Linked DNA regions of Cricetulus griseus. The protein of the gene in region 3 purifies or fractionates together with the protein of the main gene of each other region. This does not show direct contact. Links are inferred from orthologs where the notes say so. Each region holds a gene or a part of one and is shown on either strand. Other genes may lie near its edges. The genes, in order: Faslg, Nlrc4 and Casp8.

Region 1 (6,385 bases), on a different chromosome or scaffold from region 3:
TCCACGTGATCTTGGCTTACTGGAGAATGCCCGGACCTGTTACTCCTTTAACAGCTACATGGCATCTCTCTGCCTACCTTTCCCAAAATTCTCCTCATCTCCTAGTCCCGCCTATCTTCCTGCCTCTATTGGCCAAACAGTGTTTTATTCATCAACCAATAAGAGAAACATATATACAGAAGGACATCCCCCATCAGAGGTCAGCATTGAGAAGACTCTGCTGTCTCCTATGTGAACTGTAAGAAACAAGATGCCTGCTTAGCCACCTACATGGCCAAGTCTGGTGGGGTTCCAGGTGAACTCTAAAGGTCCCTGGCACTACCAAAGGCTGCACCACTTCTAGCTGGGCTCATTGCTGAGTACAAATACCCTAAATCATGTGTCCTGCCTCTTGTTTTCTAGGTCACTTGTGACCTATCACATTAGGTAAGAAAAAGAGCCCCTAAGGTAGAACTTCTACTCAGGTACCTTTAAATATATATAATTTCACACATGGCCTCTCCCCTTCTTTTGATTAGGACTAGGAAATATCTAAGCCTTAGCCCACAAAGGCAAGCATCTACTTTGGTTTTGAGGGGGCTAGGCTTCCCCCTCTATTTCCTTCTTCTGAAAGTGCCTCAGAATAGATACTCTTCTGATGATGGCCACAGGAAAGCTCTTTCCTGTTAAGCTGTGGTAAGTCAAAACCTACTTCAGAGAACACAAAGCCACCAGTCTGAGGGGCTAAGAAAAGAATGGGTGTTGTGTGCTGTTAGATGTTAGAAAAGAAAACCTCAAACCATTGAACTAGAAGTGACTTTTCTATGTAGATCTGTGTTGAACTTTGTCTTTAATCATCTTTCGTTAAGAAACAATGGGAGATCCCATTTTCAATGAATACCTTCAAAAGTGTTTTGGTTTTAATATTACTTGTGTTTTAAATTAGAGAAAAAAATTCAAGGTTTTTAAAGGTATTGTTAGCATCTTTTTACTGGAACTAATACTATACTTGATCTTCACCAAAAGGCCAAGAATCAGAATACTTAAAGTGTAGTGATCTATTAATATAACCCCAAAGGGACCCTCGAGAGATGGATACCAGAGCAGCTTGACTGTTACATTATAACATCCACCAATTCTCAAGATGCCTGTGCCTCCATACTTACTTCTTTGCTCTAGTATGATTGTCTAGAAATGCTCATTGACAAAGAGAATAAAAATATCCAGAAAATGTTCCATGATCCTTGCAACAAGCATCTTTGATGACTGAAGGCCAAAATATAAGGAAAAAGATGAAGGGGATTTCATCACAATGACTAGAAAGGCAAATCTACAACCAAAAGACCAAATACCTCCCAGACATTCTCCTTGAAGTAACCCACCCACCCAAAGCAGATGTCAGATAGAAGAGCCTGAAGATAAAAGTTGATACTTTCCAACCTGAGATTTTGATTTTGTCCCTCAGTTTATTCAGGAAACATTTACCAACTCTTTTGAATAACAGCTTGGGTTCTGTTGACTTGGCACTTTCCCTTCTTCCTCCCATATTTTATTTCTGGAAATGTCAGGTAACTAATAATATCTTTCTTGTTTACAGTGTTAGGGGTTGAGGTGTGTTTCAGTTTTCTTTTTAACTTTTCCTCCTATCTGTGGCTTCAAACCCCCCTTGGATAATCTATTACACATACATATTAAAGAGGCTGCACATATATTACACATATATCAATTCTTTTCTGCACATCAGAGGGCAAGTGATCTACCAGACTGCAAAGTGAGCTAAGAACAAGAACAAAGATCAACTCCAGGCTTCTTTTTTTCTACTACAAAGCATGTATCTTTTCTACTTTGCCATGACTCTAACCCCAGAGAAGATGAGTTGCCATCAAATATGTGGAAATTTGGGTCAGCTTAATGTTGGCCATAATGGTGGTAAACAAAACTCAGGGTAATGTGAGGTCCAGAGGAGAGCAGATAGAGAGAAAAGACAAGAAACTGATGAAGATGGAAGAATTTGCCACACAGCTCTACTCACCTTTGTAAATCTTTCTCAGAATGCTCCAAAGCCATTATGAATGAAGAAACCATGGAGAAAAGAAACAATAAGCACATCTCGCTGATTTCCAAACACTATATCCTTAATACTTTTCTATATTCTGCAATACAATTTTTATTTGTCTTTTTTCACTAAGATTCACAAAATATATATATATATATATACTAGTTCTATTAAAGGAAAACAGCATAAGTAGCTGGTAATAAAAAAATTTTGAAGACTATTAGAGTTTATTGCCAAGAAACATTCAGATATCCACCACCAAATGTAACACATATGTTTCTAATATGTACTTTGTAATGCACACATTCTATTTATATGACTCTCTAGAATCTGTCTGTCTGCTCTCTCATACATACAAACACACACAGACACCATTGCACTGGAGACACACATGCCATTGCACTGGAGACACACATGCCATTGCACTGGAGATACACATGCTGTGTAAGGAATGATCTGTGCTTCAAACATCCCTCTTAGTTCTCTGTTAGCATCAAAGGTTGGCTCAGAAAACACCCGTTAAAAGTAAAGATGATGCCAATGAGACATTGGCCTCTTTCAGTCTCTAGCTTATCAGTCAAACCTGGCCCCCTTTTCCCATGCCTTGTATATTCAGATCATAACCATGTGTCTGAAAGATGGCCTCCTCTGAGGTAGCAAGTAGACCCACCCTGAAAGGTGAGTTTAAAAGTGTCCTCTTCAATGGCTAAAATGCTCTTGGCCATTTTTAGCATCAGACAGTTCCTTCTCTGTGCCTCTGCATCATCACATGGCAGCCCAAAGCTTTATGTTCCTTGGCCACAGTTCTCCTTCCATCTAGCTCACGATGGAGGCATTAAGGACCACTCTGGGAAATGAAGGAAAGTTGACCTGTTGAACCTTGTGATCATGAGGTCTTTGTGGCTCATTTTGTCTTGATTAATCTCAATTGGTCTTAAAAAGACACTCATTCAAGACAATATTCCCAGTACCCATAAAACGGAATAATGGATAATTCTAAAGTGCTTTTTCTGTTAAAGCTTATATAAGCCAAAAAATGTCTTAGATTCGTCAAAATTAATCAGAGAGAGTTGAGAGATGTTGACGTATAAATGGTCAGCACTGGTAAGATTGAATACTGCCCCCAGATAGCTGCTGTGGGCCCACATCTGGCCAGGAGTGCAGTAGTTCAACTTCTTCTCCTCCATTAACACCAGATCCCCAAGATACTTAGAGTTCCTCATGTAGACCTTGTGACTTAAGGGCTGATTGGTGCAAGAATGACCCCGGAAGTATACTTTGGAATATACAAAGTACAAGCCAGGGACATTGATCACAAGGCCACCTTTCTTATACTTCACTCCAGAGATCAGAGCAGTTCCATATGTGTCTTCCCACTCCAGAAGGACAGACCTTGAGCTGGGGTTGCCTGAAATAAACCAGAGAAGAACTTTCAGCCAGAAGGTCTCCCACATCTGATGGGCTAAGATTCCAAGGGAAAACTCTGGGCCCTTCCTTAACAAAAGCTCTATCCAGAAGGACAGCCAATCAGGGGTCAAAGCATGGTCCACCCCAGAGTTTCTTCAACACCTTTGTCAAATTGTCCACCCTAATTTAATCATCCATGTGATTGGGACAAATTTAGTGTGTGTCTCTGATTGATCTCAGGGAAGACTATTAGGATAATTTCAGTTCTCTGGAACAAACATTTTATGATCTAAACTAGTACCAACACCGCTGAGCTTGGGCATCCCTCCATAAAGAGAATGATCTCCAGAGTTCTACATCTGGACAAAATCTCATGGTTATGTGGTCCACTTCCTTGTTTAGTTTGGATTCCTTGGCCTCTTATTTTGGGCTAATCCCCTTCCATTTTGTTCACACAGCATTATGTACCTACACACAGCAAGTACTCAATAAGTGTTTGTGGACCCAGATGAATTTTTCTACAGCCTCCAAGTGATGACAGGAGGTATGGTACACCTCTTCTTGTGATATATAACTACATTTTTAATGTTTATATTTCTAATGGAGTTGCCCATGCCATATTATACTAAAACACTTATTTACTTTATAATCATAGGCTGAAAACCCACAAATGCCAGAACAATCTCTTCTTATTCAAAACAGTGCATCACTCACCCTTGGCTGCTCCTCTTGGACTTATGTCACAAGTCCCCTTGTGGATTTTGGCATGGTTGAAAAGAGTGCACTTTTTGTTTTATAAATAATCTCTCTTGGTTTATCTAATGGACAGAGGGCTTCCTTAAGAGTTGGGATAACTGTTCTTTGTTTCTGCCACAGGACTGTCAGCCTAGTAGACTCCCTTCCTTCCCTTTGCAATTCCTCATGCTGTGGTTACATCAAATATAACACATATGTCACATGTGCCCTTACATTTTCCCATGTGTACTTTAGCCCTTGAGGCCAGCTAGAATGACAGACCATAGCAGCTGAGCCTCACCCCATTGAGAGGCAAGGGAAAACTTAGGCAGATTCCATTAATAGCCCTGTGCCTGTGACTGTCACATCCCTCCCAGGAAGCACCAGCAATGCCCACTTCTGAGGTGTGACAAATACACACCACCTTTGCCAGTGTTGATGTCACACTCCCTTCAATCAAGGCAGCCATCTCCTCCTCTCAGGAAATGATGGCTGGGGCTCCTGTGCCAACCTGACATGTCCTTAACAGAGGTCACCAAGAGGTCGAGGCAAGGGGGAAATCAGAATTCTTCACACTTCAAACAGGAATTATGACCACTCTACCCTGAAGCCACCCTCTCCAGCTGGCCATTATCTACAGGAGAGACGTGCACTTAGTCAGAGTTTGTAAGCTCCAGAGCCAAAGGACAATATCCTCAGGGTCCAATTTATCTAGCCCAGACAGGTGTTTGCACATGTGTGTGTGCTCGTGCTCACGCTCTTGCAAAACCTGCATGGTTAAAAATGATCATTTCCCATCTTAAAGGAAATACAACAGGAAGTTTCTATCCTCTGTCAACAGTTTTATGCACATCCTCGTTACTGTCTATGCTTTGAAATTGGCTGCAGCTGTTGTTCTCATCTCCCTTCACATCTGTGTGACACCCGTTTTCTCTATCATCTGTCCAGAGCTTAGAGCTTTAAGGTGAGCTCCATCCTCAAGAGTGCACATTTTATGGCCAAGATCAAGCCATACACAAGTCTACAGCATTAGAATTGTCAGATTAGGCTCATGAGATCCCAGAGATATGAATGGTCTTGAGTGGTAAATACAATTGTCAATAATACTTTCTAAGAGCCTACAATGGAAATTGAGCATTTGGTCCACAGTTTTCCAGACTTTCTGTCCTCACCCAGTCCTTCCAGACACAAACCTGTTAAATGGGCCACACACCTCGGCTCTTCTTTTTCAGAGGGTTGACCGGGGTGGTCTGCATCATAGAGAGACAAAAGACATGTGAAAATTATGATGATGGGTGCCAACCACTATCTTGATTGGGACTCTAAATCCCACTATTTAAATATGTGATTTTCAGAGCATAGGGGGAAATATTCTAGTACAGACTTATCAAGAAATTCTAAACTGTGGGACTCATGAGAGTCTGTAATTCAAAAACAGTTTAAAAAGACAAGACAGGTAAATACAGATGAATACATAAATTATATTATGATAAAATAGCCATTTCATTTACTCCATTTAGAACTTGCCTTGACCCCTTTATTGTCCCAATTATAACTGGCAATAAGACATTAGTAACTGACTGACTTTAACGGTGGATGCAATGGGCACCTTGGGCTGACTGTAAATCCCTGGTCTGTACACCCTGATTCTGCTGACCTGTAGACTACTGATTCATCTCCTGGGCACCAATCTACAATCTATTTCCAAGGTGATAATATTAAGACCTCCTCATCTATCACGAGGTTGTCCACAATTTTACTCCATCATGTAGCCTTAGCCAGAGTTCCTCTACATGGTATCAGTCTTACTCCCTCTATTCCATCCCATCAAACACTTGCACACAGCATGGGTTCTATGAACTGATTATGCCCCCTTCTTCCCTGCTCCTGGGCTTTTGCTCATTCTGTCCAGAACGCCCTCCAAATGAGATCTCTGAGTTAAATTCCTGTCAATTATCTAGTGACCATCTTACACTCCTCTTCCTTTGGGAAACCCTTCCACACTTTTTGTCAAATATGGCCCTTCACCCTTCAAAGCCTAAGACCCTTCTGTCTTTGCCTCTCTTGATAGTTATGGCTCCTCCCTCCTAGGGCAACTATAAAAACTGCCTTTACTTCCTTCTTGTCCAGGAAAATAGCAGCTCTCTGGAATAATCACTTTATGATCTAAACTAGTACTAACATTGCTGGACTTTGGGATCCTGGCTA
Region 2 (6,843 bases), on a different chromosome or scaffold from region 3:
CCCAGGACTGCCAACCAAACCAAACCCCCAAACAGATTAAGATATTGCAGAGGCACACACACACACACACACACACACACACACACACACACACACACACACACGATGAGGCCTTCTTAGAGACTGGGAGAAGTGAGAGAGCTTAGACTGGATACTGTCTAATACTTTGTAGTGATCATTTTTGGAAAAGACTAAAACTTGTGAAACATAAAACACCTATTTCTTTGAGTTGTGACAGGAAAGTGAGAACTGAGCATGTTGGCATATTACTTTGTGTGTGATGACAGACATGAATTCTCCTAACAACTACCCAGGGTATACAGACTATGTGCTATAGAAGGGTTTGGTGAACTGTTGACTTTTCAGATTTTTGTTTCCCAGTCAACATATGGCTATCTTGAAATTGGCCATGGTGAAAATATCGAATCCCTTCCTGGGCTCAGTAAATGCTATGAAAGGGATATTCTGTCACCAGAGATCCTGGCTGTTACATAGTTGGCAGTATTTCAGATTCAAAAGAGAGTTGCCAAAGGTTACAGATGCTAGCAAGTGGCAGATCCTATGCTGTTACAGTAATGTTACCTACCTGGGGGAAGTGTAAGCAAACACCTAGTCACCCCAGGTAGAGCCTCAGATAAGAGACTAAAGCAACCATTCCACCTATCTAGTTTGTTGAATCAGTAGGTTTGTTGGTCTTGCTTATTGGAGCCCAGGTAAAGGGTAACCACAAATACACACATCCCCACAAGGCCCTATATCAAGCATGGATGATGACTAGCTGTGTATGCATACGTAGAGTCCCTCCTCCAGCTGTCGTGACCCAGAATGTCTCAGCCTTAGTCCATGGGGTTCTACCTGAGTGGGGGTGTGTGGACCTGGAAGGTTCGAGGAACCCAATGGCGATAAAGACCAAACACAGGCATCTTGTCATCTTCAGAGAGCTCTCAGTTCCACGTTGTGGAACTAGAGTCATTTCTTTATTGGCCATCTTTTCTGGTGTCTCTTAACCATCCTGCTAATACTACAAGGCAACCATTTCTCTCTTTGTTCTCCTCTCGCCGCCAGAGCCTGGGACCCAATATTCGGTCCCCCACATCCAGCTAACCTTGCACCCTCTATTCTAGCACCTCCCACGTCAGGTTGAAGTTGAGGCAGGATGGCTGGGAGGGAGACATAGAGGAGAAAAGCTGGGAACTCAGTCGAGGGCCTAATGCTCCCTTTAACTCCTCCTCCTAAGGAAGAATGTCGACAGGTACAATATTGTGAGGGTCTCTTGCTCTGATTAAGATGGTAATGGCTCTTGGGCCCATGTTTTCACTACTGTGACTTCACTGGAGATTTTCTCCTCCCCCACTTTTGGAGACAGGGTCTCACTATGTGGCCCTGGCTGTGCTGAAATTCACTCTGTAGACCAGACTAGCCTCAAACTCACAGAGATCTGCCTGCCTCTGCCTCCTGAATGCTGGGATTAAAGGTGTGCACCACCACACCTGGTGCTCACTAGAGAGACTCTTGTATCAGTGGACAAATCACCCACCTAACTTCATCACCTTAAACTGCCTTGCTCACTGAGCAAAGTTAGGGCTGCAGAGTTTTGCAGAGCACTTTTGTTTTTGTTGTTTGTTTTATGAGATGAGGTTTCTCTGTGTAAATGCCCTGGCTGTCTGGAAACTCACTCTGTATATCAGACTGGCCTCAAACTCAAAGAGATCCCCCTGCCTCTGCCTCCCAAGTACTGAGATTAAAGGTGTGCAAACCACCTCCTGGCTTGCAGAGCACTTTCTTGAGGACCTGAATGTCAAGCATCTGGTGTCTCAATAATTCAAGATGGGCCTAAGGAAAACAAATGCAGTCTGATGCGCTGGTGACAGATACATGTATTTCTTGTTGGCTAAAATAAAAAAAATGGCCGGGCAGTGGTGGCACACACCTTTAATCCTACCACTCGGGAGGCAGAGGCAGGCAGATCTCTGTGAGTTTAAGACCAGCCTGGTCTACTGGAGCTAGTTCCAGGACAGCCTCCAAAGCCACAGAGAAACCCTGTCTCGAAAAACCTAAATAATAAATAATAAACAAATGTTTCCCTGTGTCTCCTCAGTGAACTTCATAAAGGAAAACAGTCAAGCTCTTATTCAAAGGATGGGCATCACAGTTATCAAGCAAATCACAGATGAGCTTTTTGCATGGAATGTTCTCAACTATGAAGAAAAGGCCAACATTTGCTGTGAGAAGGTGGAACAGGATGCTGCACGAGCGATCATTCATATGATTCTGAAGAAGGGCTCAGAGGCCTGTAACCTCTTTCTTAAGTGTCTTGAGAAGTGTGACTATACTATGTATCAGGACTTAACTGGACAAAGTAAGTATTGCTTTGCTCACCTCTGTCCCACCATTAAGAACACAAACCATTCAGAATACCTACAGTCCCTTCTGTGGAATTTCAGCTTGTCCTCTACCCTTGTGTGGCTGGCCAGGGACTTTGAGTCATTTACAGTAGACACTTGACAGTGAAGCTTATATAAGTAATCTCAGAGCTGGGCAAGAAATGAGTTAAGTATAGTCACACTTCAAAGTACAACTGGAATTCTGGGTGTGCGTAATTGGCTACCCTGGGCTCTTTGGGGAGACTGAGGCAGGTGGATTGGGAGATTGAAGCCAGCCTGGGATGGAAATATATAAAGACTCTGTCAAAAAAAATGTTTAGCTAGAACACAAATAGATGAAGCCAGCAATCCTTAGTCATCTGTGGGTGAGTGGTCCTGCCGACTGTCTATCTCATGTTGCAGTGTCTTGGAAAAGTGACCACTCTACTTTCCAAGCAGCAGTAATTTCATCATCATCAAGCTATACCTCCAACTCCTCATTTTAATTAAGTGACTAAATTGCGTAATTGGTTGAATTTTACTCCATCACACATTCTGAGGGAAATCTTTCACTTTCCTTAACTAAGATGATGGCTCCTCTCATTTCCAATCTGCTGCTGTAAGATTTGATTGTGAGAAAAAAGAAATGGAATGTAGAGAAGAGGGAATGAGTGGAAAGGCCAAGGGAAATCGATGGGAATTTGGAGCCTGTGTGGTATCTAAGAACTAGGAAGAAAGTCAAAGTCACCCCCAGCTGCCATTCTCGGCAACTCTGCTGTTCATCCCCCTGAGCCCTGGGCTTCAGAGATGTCTTGATTAGGGTTTCTATTATTTGACAAAACACCATGACCAAAGAGCATGTTGGGGAGGAGATGGTTTATTTGGCTTATGCTTCCATATCACTGTTCATTACTGAAAGAAGTCAGGACAGGATCCAGGAGGTAAGACCTGACAGAGAGGCTATAGAGGAGTGCTGTTCACTGACTTGCTTCCCCCTGCCTTGCTCAGTCTGCTTTCTTATAGAACCCAGGACCAACAGCCCAGGGATGGCCCTACTCACCATAAGCTGGGCCCTCCCCCATTGATCACTAAATAAGCAAATGCCTTACAGCTGGATCTCATAGAGGCATTTCCTCAGCAGAGGCTCCTTCCTCTCTGAAGACTCTAGTTTGTGTCAACTTGACACAAAACCAGCCACTGCAGAGGCAATGCAGAGTCAAGTCCTCTGTAACAGCATCTCTTCTCTAACAGGTATTTTTCATCAGAACACAGAAGAAGACTTGGATGTCTTGGCTCAGAATTTAAAATACTTATACAACAGCCCCACATTTCTGAACTTCTATCCCCTGGGTAAAGATATTGACATCATTTTCAATCTGAAGATCACCTTCACAGAACCCGTCCTATGGAGGAAGGACCATCGTTATCATCGCATGGAGCAGCTAACCCTGGGCAGTCTGTTGGAGGCTCTTGAGAGCCCCTGCCTCATTGAAGGGGAGTCTGGCAAAGGGAAGTCCACCCTGCTGCAGAGAATTGCCATGCTCTGGGCCTCTGGGGAGTGCAAGGCTCTGAACAGGTTCAAATTGGTCTTCTTTGTCCGCCTGAGCAGTGCAGAGCATGGACTGTTTGAAACAGTGTGTGATCAGCTCCTGAATGTACCCGACTCCACTAGCAAGCAAGGGTTCATGGCTATGCTGCTGAAACTGCAGCAGGAAGTCCTCTTTCTTCTCGATGGTTACAATGAATTCCAGCCCCAGAACTGCCCAGAAATCGAAGACCTGATAAAGCAAAACCATCGTTTCAAGAACATGGTCATTGTCACGACCACCACAGAGTGCCTGAGACATATCAGACATGTTGGCGCCCTGACTGCGGAGGTGGGGGATATGACAGAAGACAGCGCCCAGGTGCTCATCCGACAAGTGCTGATAAAGGAGCTGGCTGAAGGCCTGCTCTCCCAGATCCAGGTGTCCAAGTGCTTGAGGAATCTGATGAAGACCCCTCTCTTCGTGGTGATCACCTGTGCAATCCAGATGGGCAGGAAGGAATTCAAAGATCACACACAAACCACATTGTTCCGAACCCTCTACGACCTCCTGATAAAGAAAAACAAGCACAGACACAGAGGCGGGGCTGACAGTGATTTTCTCAGGAGCCTAGACCGCTGTGGAGACCTGGCCCTGGAGGGCATGTTCTCCCACAGGTTTGCTTTTGAACCCGAGGACCTGTCCAGCATGAATGAGGATGTCCTGGTGACAACTGGGCTCCTCTGTAAGTACACAGCTCAGAGGCTGACACCCAAGTATAAATTCTTTCATAAATCCTTCCAGGAGTACACAGCGGGACGAAGACTTAGCAGTTTGTTGATTTCCAGAGAACCAGAGGAGGTAAGCAAGGGGAATGACTACTTGAAGAAAATGGTTTCCATCTCAGACATCACATCCCTGTATGGCAATCTGCTCCTGTACACATGTGGTTCATCCCCAGAGGCGACCAGGGCTGTCATGAGGCACCTTGCATTGGTGCATGAGCATGGCAGCTTACAAGGGCTTTCTGTCACCAAGAGACCACTCTGGAGGCAAGAATCTGTACAGAGCATGAGAAACACCACTGAGCAAGATGATCTGAAAGCCATCAACACAAACTCTTTTGTAGAGTGTGGCATCAACCTGTTCTTGGAGAGCATATCTGAATCAGCCCTGAGTCAAGAATTTGAAGCTTTCTTTAGTGGTAAAAGTTTACACATAGACTCAGAGAACATCCCCGATTACTTATTTGACTTCTTTGAACACTTGCCTAATTGTGTAAGCGCACTGGACTTTGTCAAGCTGATCTTCCATGGGAGAGCCACTGCTTCACAGGACAAAGCTGCAGAGAACAGTCCTGGAGTCCACATGGAAGGCCCCTCTGAAACCTACATTCCCAGCAGGGCTGTGTCTTTGTTCTTCAATTGGAAGCAGGAATTCAAGACTCTAGATGTCACACTCCGGAATATCAGCAAGCTGGATAAACAAGATATCAAATATCTGGGGAAGATATTCAGCTCCGCCACAAACCTCCGGCTGCACATCAAGAGATGCGTGGCTGTGACTGGAAGCCTCAGCTCAGTCCTCAGGACCTGTAAGAACATCCATTCCCTCACGGTGGAAGCCAGTCCCCTCACCATAGATGATGAACAGCACGTCACGTCCGTTACAAACCTCCAGAACTTGAGCATTCACAACCTGCACACCCAACGGCTGCCAGGTACCAGTGTGTCCGAAGTGTGCAATCATGACTGGATGGTGCTCTGCACCTGCTAGATGGCACAGAGGCTTCTAGAACCAGTTCTAATGCTTTTTGCCTCCTGGGTGCATCCCTGAGTCTGGCTTACCTTCTCTGTATTTCCTCTGTCCTTCATTTCAGCTGCCTTGAGCCTCCCTGTGGTTCCTGCCTCCAACTGCAATCTGAAAGTGTTCAGGTGCCAAAGATTTACTTATTTTATGTCTCCTCTCCCCTCCCCTGCCCTCCCCTTCCCTACTCTCCTCTCTTCTCCCCTGCCCTCCCCTGCTTCAGCCTTCCAAGTGCTGGGATTATAGGCATGTACACCACATCCTGCTACGTTTTATTTTTCTGTTTAATTCCATTATATTTGAACAGCATGTTTATAGATGAGCCCACCACCATTTCTGACAAAATATCTACACTTATGTGAATATCGTGAGCACTTGGTGCCCTTTATGATAACTAAAACATTCCCATTGGTAATAGGAATGTCAGTGACAGTAAACAATGACAGCACCAGAGAGGGACACATGCTGTTCTGTTTTCTTTTGGCAGGTGGTCTGACTGACAGCTTGGGTAATCTGAAGAACCTCATGAAGCTTGTACTGGAAAACATTAGGATGAATGAGAAAGATGCTAAAAACCTAGGTGAGATTTTTGTTTCTTTAATATTCTTTGCTTAATTATTTATTTTTTAATTTTATGTACATTGATGTTTTGCCTGTGTGTATGTGTGAGGGTGTCAGGTGCCCTAAAATTGGAGTTACAGACAGTTGTGAGATGCCATGTGGGTGCTGGGAATTGAACCTGGATCCTCTGGAAGAAGTGTCAGTGCTTTTAACTGCTGAGCCATATCTCTAGTCCCTTCTTAATATTGTTATTGGTGTTGGTATGATGATAAGAATGGTTAGTTTAAGATTATTTGGCGCTGGCTGCATTTGTTGAAGGCAAGATCCTTATGTGTGTATGTGGGGGGGGCATCTGCATGGCATGTGTGGTGGTTTGAATAAGAACATCCCCCATAGGCTCATATGTTTGAATGCTTAGTCACCAGGGAGTGGAACTCTTTGAAAGGATTAGAAGGATCGGGAAGTGTGGCTTTGTTGGAGGAGGTATGTCACTGGGGGTAGGCTTTGAGGTTTCAAAAGCTCATGGCAGGCCCAGTCTTTCTCTCCCTGCTGCCTGTGGATCACAATGGAGAACTCTCAGCTCCTTC
Region 3 (6,843 bases):
AGGTACTCGGAAATTGCTGGGCTCAGGTAGGCATGAATAGAGGGAAGAACTGGCTGGTACTTGGCCTCATTTCTAAAGGAGGGTGATCCTTGAGTGGAAGAGAGCTTGTCACTCTTTGCAGAGGGCCAGAGATTCCAAGCACTCACAGTCACAAGCACCGCAACTCCATTTCCAGGGGATCTGATGCTGCCTTCTGACATAGCCAGGCTTCTGCATAAATGTGGAGTGCATAAACTCACTCACCCACATGCACTTACATGTGAACTTAAAGTAAATAAGCAGAGTGCTCCAAAATGTATTACACAGCAAAAACAATAGTGAAAACATAAGAAGGCTATTACCAGTATTAATGTTTACAGACTGGTGGTGCTGTTCACATTTTCTCTAAAATTAAGAATCACCCCCAAGGGAACACATATGATTTTTATAGTCAGAATATTTGATTAATAAAAAATTTGGAGGGGGCTGGAGAGACAGCTCAGTAGTCAAGGCAGGGAATATGGCTGGAGCATCCCAGGCTGGGGCAGCCACATGGTGGAGGAATTCAGGGGCAGTGGGAGCCTGGACTTAACAGAGAAGAACTATGAACACTTGGCCAAAGGGCCTCTCCCAAAGCCAAAAGCTTTGATCAAGAATGTTCTGGGAAAAAAAAGTCAGGTGTGATATGGCACATGCCTTTCACCCTAGCACTTGAGGCAGGCCAGTTTCTGTGATTTCAAGGACAGCCTAGTCTACGTAGAGAGTTCCAAGACAGCCAAGGCTGTCTCAAACAAATCAAAACACAAGAATATTCTGGAAAATTATTTGAATCTAGCTACCCACATCTCAAAGGAAAAGAAGACACAGCCAGAACAGATTTAAGACCCACTTGTAGAATAACTGTGCTCATTTCAAATGTTCCCATAGGGCTTTTGCAAATTCTTTTTATCTCCCAGAGAGCCGCAGGGGTGACAAGTGACCACCAAACTTTCATCCTGATATTAGGCTATGGCAGAAGGTGGTGGGAAGAGAGTAAGAGGGAATTAAGTGCCTCGGCATCAAAGAAATGAATCTGGAAGTCTTACCATCTAAAACTGAAACTGGCGACTCTGCCCCTCCTTCAAGGCTCATTCTCCCTGCATTCAAAAGGAAGAGCTAGATCAGAAACAGCTGTGGCTCTGGAGGCTTTGCCGCCTCATAACCATCAGCTGTCTACCTCTGCTTGATTTTTCATAAGCCTCAATCTTCTCCAGCAGGCTCTTGTTGACCTGGGCACAGATTGATTTCAGGGCATCCAAGTTTTCTTCCCTCAGGATGACTCTCTTCTCCATTTCCACAAAAATATCAAGCAGGCTCTGGGGAGGAGAGAGCAAGGGACAAATGGATTGAGTGCTCAGGCCTGGGAACTAGGTTTTTGTTTCCTTAATTCCACTTCTTCCAAAGCAAGAGCCCAGTCTTATTTCCCACAGAGATCGCCCTCCCACCCCTGAGCACATACTGATCCCTCAAAGTTGACAGTAATCAGGAAGGCCATTCTGTGTTTTCTGGCCTAAAAGGATAAAAACATAGAAAAAAAAGAGAAGCCATGTCAGATGTCACCAGTCCCCAGGCCTTGTTCCCAAACTATCTGTGGAAGCCTTCATCTATGGACCAGCCTGGAGGAGTGTGGGAAGAACAGCCCTGGAGACTGCATTATACTCTGGCATTGCCTTATCCACCTCTAAACCTCAGCGAATGCACATACAGAGAGAGAGACATGTGCAGGGCACCAAACACACACAGAGAGGCCATGAGCATGTACACACGTGTTCATGTGCGCTCGTATGCACCCACACTAAACAAATGTACAAAGATACACTTGGACAAAGCAAACATCAGAATTACAATACACCACACAGCACACAAAAGCACACACACACACACACACACACACACACACACACACACACACACACACACCGGGGGGTGGGGTGGGGAGAAACCCATACACATATGTACTACACATAGGTAGACTCAGACCAACAGAGACGCAGAGGTATACACCACACACACAGGTACATATGCCACACATATACATAAGAAGCACACACAAACACAAACACACACACACACACACACACACACACACACACACACACACACACACACAACACACACACACACGTTCATAGCAACCTTATTCATAATAGCCAGATCTTGGAAACAACATAGATGTCTCTCAACTGAAGAATGGATAAAGAAAAGGTGGTACATTTACACAATGGAGTACTACTCAATGGTATGAAATAATCCTGAGTGAGGTAACCCAGACCCAGAAAGACAAATGTAGTGTGTACTCACTCATAAGTGGATACCAGACATAAAGCAAAAGATACCCAGCCTACAATCCACAACGCCAGAGAAGCTAGAACCCTCTTCCAGAAACAGATGGAAGCAGATGCAGAAATCCACAACTAACCATTGGGCCAAGCTCCTCGAGTGAGGGAGGAGCTATAATATGAACAAAGGAGTCAAGACCATGATGGGGAAACCCACAGAATCAGCTGACCCGAGCTAGTGAGAGATCACTGATTCAGGTCTGACAAATGGGGAACCTGCATAAGACTGAACTAGACTCCCTGACAATGGTGTGACTGGGACAGTATATGAGGCCACTGGCAGTGATCCAAGATCTAACTCTAATGTACAAACTGACTTAGTAGAGCCGTTCTATATGGAGAGATTCCTTGCTTAACCTAGACACAGGGAAGCGGGTAGGTGGTGCCTTGATCCCACCTCAGTGAGATGATGAGACAGACTTAGTAGACTTCCTAGGGGAGGCCTTACCCTGTCTGAGGAGCAGATGGGAGGTGCCCGGGAGGAGAGGAAGGAGAGGGAACTGGGATTGGAATGTAAAAAAATTAATAAAAAGGAAACCTAAAAACAGAAGGGAAGTTGGAGTGGGCTTATTATAGGCAAACTGTGTATTCATTTCCCCACTGTAGTTCCTGTGGGGGCCTGGATGACATTATTGTCACTGAGGCACTGAGTATATTAGAGAGAGGTAACATAGTAAGATATTAAATAATGTATTAGAAGAAAAAAGAAGCACACACACAATATACACAGCATGTAGACACAGACACATACATCATACAACCTACTCATAAAGACACATACCACACACTGGGGGAACAAACAAACAAGCAAACGTGACATTTCAAAAGCAGCAGAGGTGAGGAAGATGTGACCCCAGGCTGCATTTCCTCCCTGGCCCTGCTTGGTCCCATGTATTGTGGCACTGCCCAACTTGCCTACTCTGTCTCCTGGGTCTGCCCCATGGCTGAGTAGTAGCACTTTACAGTGTCAAGGCATCAAAGCCATAAATAACTACTACCCTGCCTCACTACTTTACTTTCCCCAGGTAAGAAGTGAGAACATGGGGACTAAGGTATAGCTCAGCTGGTAGAGTGCTTGCCTATCATGCAAAAGCTGTTGAATTCCATCCTGGAACCACAGAAACTGAGAGTGGTGCCACATGCCAGTAATCCCTCACCCAAGAGGTGAAGACAGGAAGACCAGAAGTTTAAGGCCATCCTTGGCTATATTGCAGGTTTGGGTTCAACCTGGGCTAATGATACCATGTCTCAAACAAACAAATGAAAGCACAAACAAACAAGTGGAAACAACCTTGAATACAGTTTGTTGTTGGCAGAACAGTCCCCTCTGATCTCAGATCCACCAGTGGTGACCCATCTCAAGGACATACCAGGTCTTACCGAGTTATCATCATACAGCTTACATTTAGGAATCTCTTCATTCAAAAAAAACTTAAAAGATTTCAATTCTGACTTGGTCACTTCTTCTGAGAGCTTAAAGAGCATGACCCTGTGGTAGGAAATGGAGACACTTTAGAAACACGCCCTAGATCATTCCCATCGCTGCACAGAGTTAACCGCAGGCCCCACTCCCAGGGCCTCCTTAAAACAGCCAACTATGCCTGACTGGTGAACCTCAGGAAAAGGCTGGATAGTGATGAAAATCTACCGAGTCAAGCCAACCAGCCCACTCTGAGCAAAGTCCCATCACCTTTGTCTTCCAACTAACTTCAGCTAAAACAATCATGCTGCTCTTAGGCTGTTATAAAATCAAGATCCAGGGGAGATGATTTGGGGGAATCATGTTCTCCACAGTGCACATCAGAACTGATTCCCTTCTAAGAATCCTGGTCAATGTCCAAGCTATTTCCTTCAGGAAGAAGGCTAAACATTTGGTTCTAGAATACAAGGTACTCTGAACATACACACACACACACACCGTTCCAATCAGCAATACCAAAGGTCCTGAAGCTCTCAACACAACCAACCGCCCTGGGTTCTCCCCACCCTGCATTCCCTTGTCCACTGCCCCCTGCAATCACACCACATTGCCCAAGAGTGCTTGGGGCTCTGTTCTCTCACTGAACCTTCATTTTTCCCCCCAGAAAGACAACTCACATATTACAACAGTCTGTCTATAAACCACCCAAGATGCCAGGTGGTGGTGGTGGTGCACTCCAGAGGCAGAGGCAGGTGGACCCCTGTGAGTTCGAGGCCAGCCTGGTCTGCAGAGCAAGTTCCAGGACAGCCACGGCTACACTGAGAAGCCCTGTCATAAAAAACAGAAACAAACAAACAAAAAAACCACCCAAGCCCCCTGACAGCCTGGCCCAAGCCTTTTTCATTTCCATTAGCCTGATATTTGTGAGATGCAATGTTTGAACTCTGTAATTTTAGATGTGTTGCGCAATTCTTTGCTCATCTGTAGATAGAAGCTAAATACATATCTACCCCACAGACAGCTGTGAATTACATAAGTTTCCATGAACTACAGTCACATGTCACTTAAAGGCAGGTGCACATTCTGAGATCCTCATCAACGGATTTCTTCATTTTGTGAACATCACAATGTGCTCTTAAACTAAGAGCACTAAGACACCACTAGTGAGGTAGCATAATCTCCCAGGACCAACATCACATATGAACAACACACATCATTGCCCAAACAGTTAGGCAGCACACTAAGAGTTCAGTAAGTGACAGACGCTGCCTCAGGGTTTCTATTGCTGTGAAGAGGCAAGACGACCATGGCAACTCTTAGAAAGGAAAACATTTAATTGGGGTGGCTCACAGTTTCAGAGGTTTAGTCTGTGACCATCATGATGCGACCTGAGATCATGCAGGCAGACAAGGTGCTGGAGAAGGATCTGAGAGTGCTGCATCCTGATCCACAGGCAATAGGAGGTGAACTGTCTCGCTGTGTGTAGCTTGAGCAAAGCAGACCTTAAAGCCCACTATCACAGTTAACTTCCTCCAACAAGGCCACACTTATTCCAACAAAGCCACATCTCCTAATAGTGCCACTCCCTTTAGAGCCATTTTCTTTCAAAACACCACAGAAGATTATTTATAAACACATTTAAGACCTTGGAAAATACTTGCCAAGTAAATAAACAAAAGGATGTTTTAGAAGTCACCAAAACTTGGGATGAAGATGTAGCTCAGCAGTTAGGAGCACACGACACTCTTGCAGAGGACCAGAGTTCAATTCTGGCATCCAAATCAGGTAGCTCCCAACCAGCTGTAACTCCAGTTACAGGAGAGCCAAGGTTTCTAGCCCCTGAGGGCATCTGTACTCACATAGACATACCCAAATACAGACACGTAATTAAAAATAAAAATAAGTAAATCTTTAAACGTTTGGAAAAAAATAAGTCAGAAAAACTCAAAAGTTTGTATGAAGGAAAATAAAACAACAGCTGCTAAGAGCATTGGATTATGAAAACTGCTGAATTAAACCAGTCTATATATTTTAAGGAGATCTTTAACATCAGAATGGAAATCAGGAAATGTGTTGTGTTGGGGGAGAGGTTGTGCCTTTGTTTCCACATGAAATAAAAAGTTATGGATTCCTTCAAAATAAAGTTCAGATTTGACCAAGGGAGGCCTCTTGAAAATCTTGACTGCAGACATAAAGGAGGAAACCAAAGAAAATCTACAAGACAGATGATGTATGTGCTGGTCCCTCTATATGGGAACAGCTCTGAGATAGGCTGAGACATTATAAATCTTAGCTACAGAGCCCTTATGACTTATTATCACATGCCATCCTTTCATGTGGCATGGAAGGAGATTTATGTTACTGTTTGGTTATGTAGTCCAAAGGAACTTACAAAGTTAACAGATGTCTTTTACATGATCAAGCATAGAACAGAGAATCATCTTTAGCTGATTTGTGCACACCACATATTCCATACTTGTAAGGTATATTGATACAAATTTAAGGTTATTTTGTTATAACATATTCCTATGTTTCTACTCTTGTTTAAGGTATTTTTGTATATTGATACAAATTTAAGGTTATTTTTGTTTCAACATAGTGTAAGGTATTGTACCTATGCAGCTCATGCTCACGCATGCTACCTTTGTGTGTTTTCAGAAGAAAAAAGACAAGAGACAAATAAAGGTAAGTAAGTAGCACAGGTGATCCAGCCTCTCAGAATGCCTCTGTTACAGTTTCCTCAAAAATATGCATCCATAACAACTTCAAAGCTGCTAGCTGAGATGGTACAGCCTCACAGATGACTCCAGCCAGGATTTCAGATAAGCTCTGCACTTTCTCATCATACCCAGACTGGACAACAGCTAGCTCTCCCAGGACTTGACCATTATGCCAATTTTCTCAGGGTACCCTAAAGATGCTGTCACCCCCAGACAATAGGAAGTAATCTTAAGAACACAATGCCCACATTCCCTAGAGGTGGGGTGGGTGGCTTTTAGTCATTTGATGGGTTGTGGATGCTTGCTGTTGTTTAGAGGGGTCGTGGTCAGGGAAAAAAACTAAGCA

What was found.
Region 1: the proteins of Casp8 (region 3) and Faslg purify together in Homo sapiens (co-immunoprecipitation; 8 studies listed by BioGRID and IntAct, with this or other methods). This does not show direct contact. The link is inferred for Cricetulus griseus from reciprocal best matches to the Homo sapiens genes CASP8 and FASLG.
Region 2: the proteins of Casp8 (region 3) and Nlrc4 purify together in Homo sapiens (affinity purification with western blotting; 3 studies listed by BioGRID and IntAct, with this or other methods). This does not show direct contact. The link is inferred for Cricetulus griseus from reciprocal best matches to the Homo sapiens genes CASP8 and NLRC4.

Annotation. Positions count from the first base shown.
Region 1 is NC_048598.1:30,343,925-30,350,309, reverse strand, and holds the end of Faslg (tumor necrosis factor ligand superfamily member 6), read right to left. Parts: intron 5,428-6,385; coding exon 5,371-5,427; intron 3,444-5,370; coding exon 3,049-3,443; 3' UTR 2,515-3,048; downstream 1-2,514. UniProt on the Homo sapiens protein: Cytokine that binds to TNFRSF6/FAS, a receptor that transduces the apoptotic signal into cells. Involved in cytotoxic T-cell-mediated apoptosis, natural killer cell-mediated apoptosis and in T-cell development.
Region 2 is NC_048600.1:9,235,871-9,242,713, forward strand, and holds part of Nlrc4 (NLR family CARD domain-containing protein 4), read left to right. Parts: intron 1-2,098; coding exon 2,099-2,359; intron 2,360-3,614; coding exon 3,615-5,609; intron 5,610-6,182; coding exon 6,183-6,275; intron 6,276-6,843.
Region 3 is NC_048595.1:413,123,702-413,130,544, reverse strand, and holds part of Casp8 (caspase-8), read right to left. Parts: intron 3,847-6,843; coding exon 3,738-3,846; intron 1,335-3,737; coding exon 1,196-1,334; intron 1,116-1,195; coding exon 1,065-1,115; intron 1-1,064. UniProt on the Homo sapiens protein: Thiol protease that plays a key role in programmed cell death by acting as a molecular switch for apoptosis, necroptosis and pyroptosis, and is required to prevent tissue damage during embryonic development and adulthood.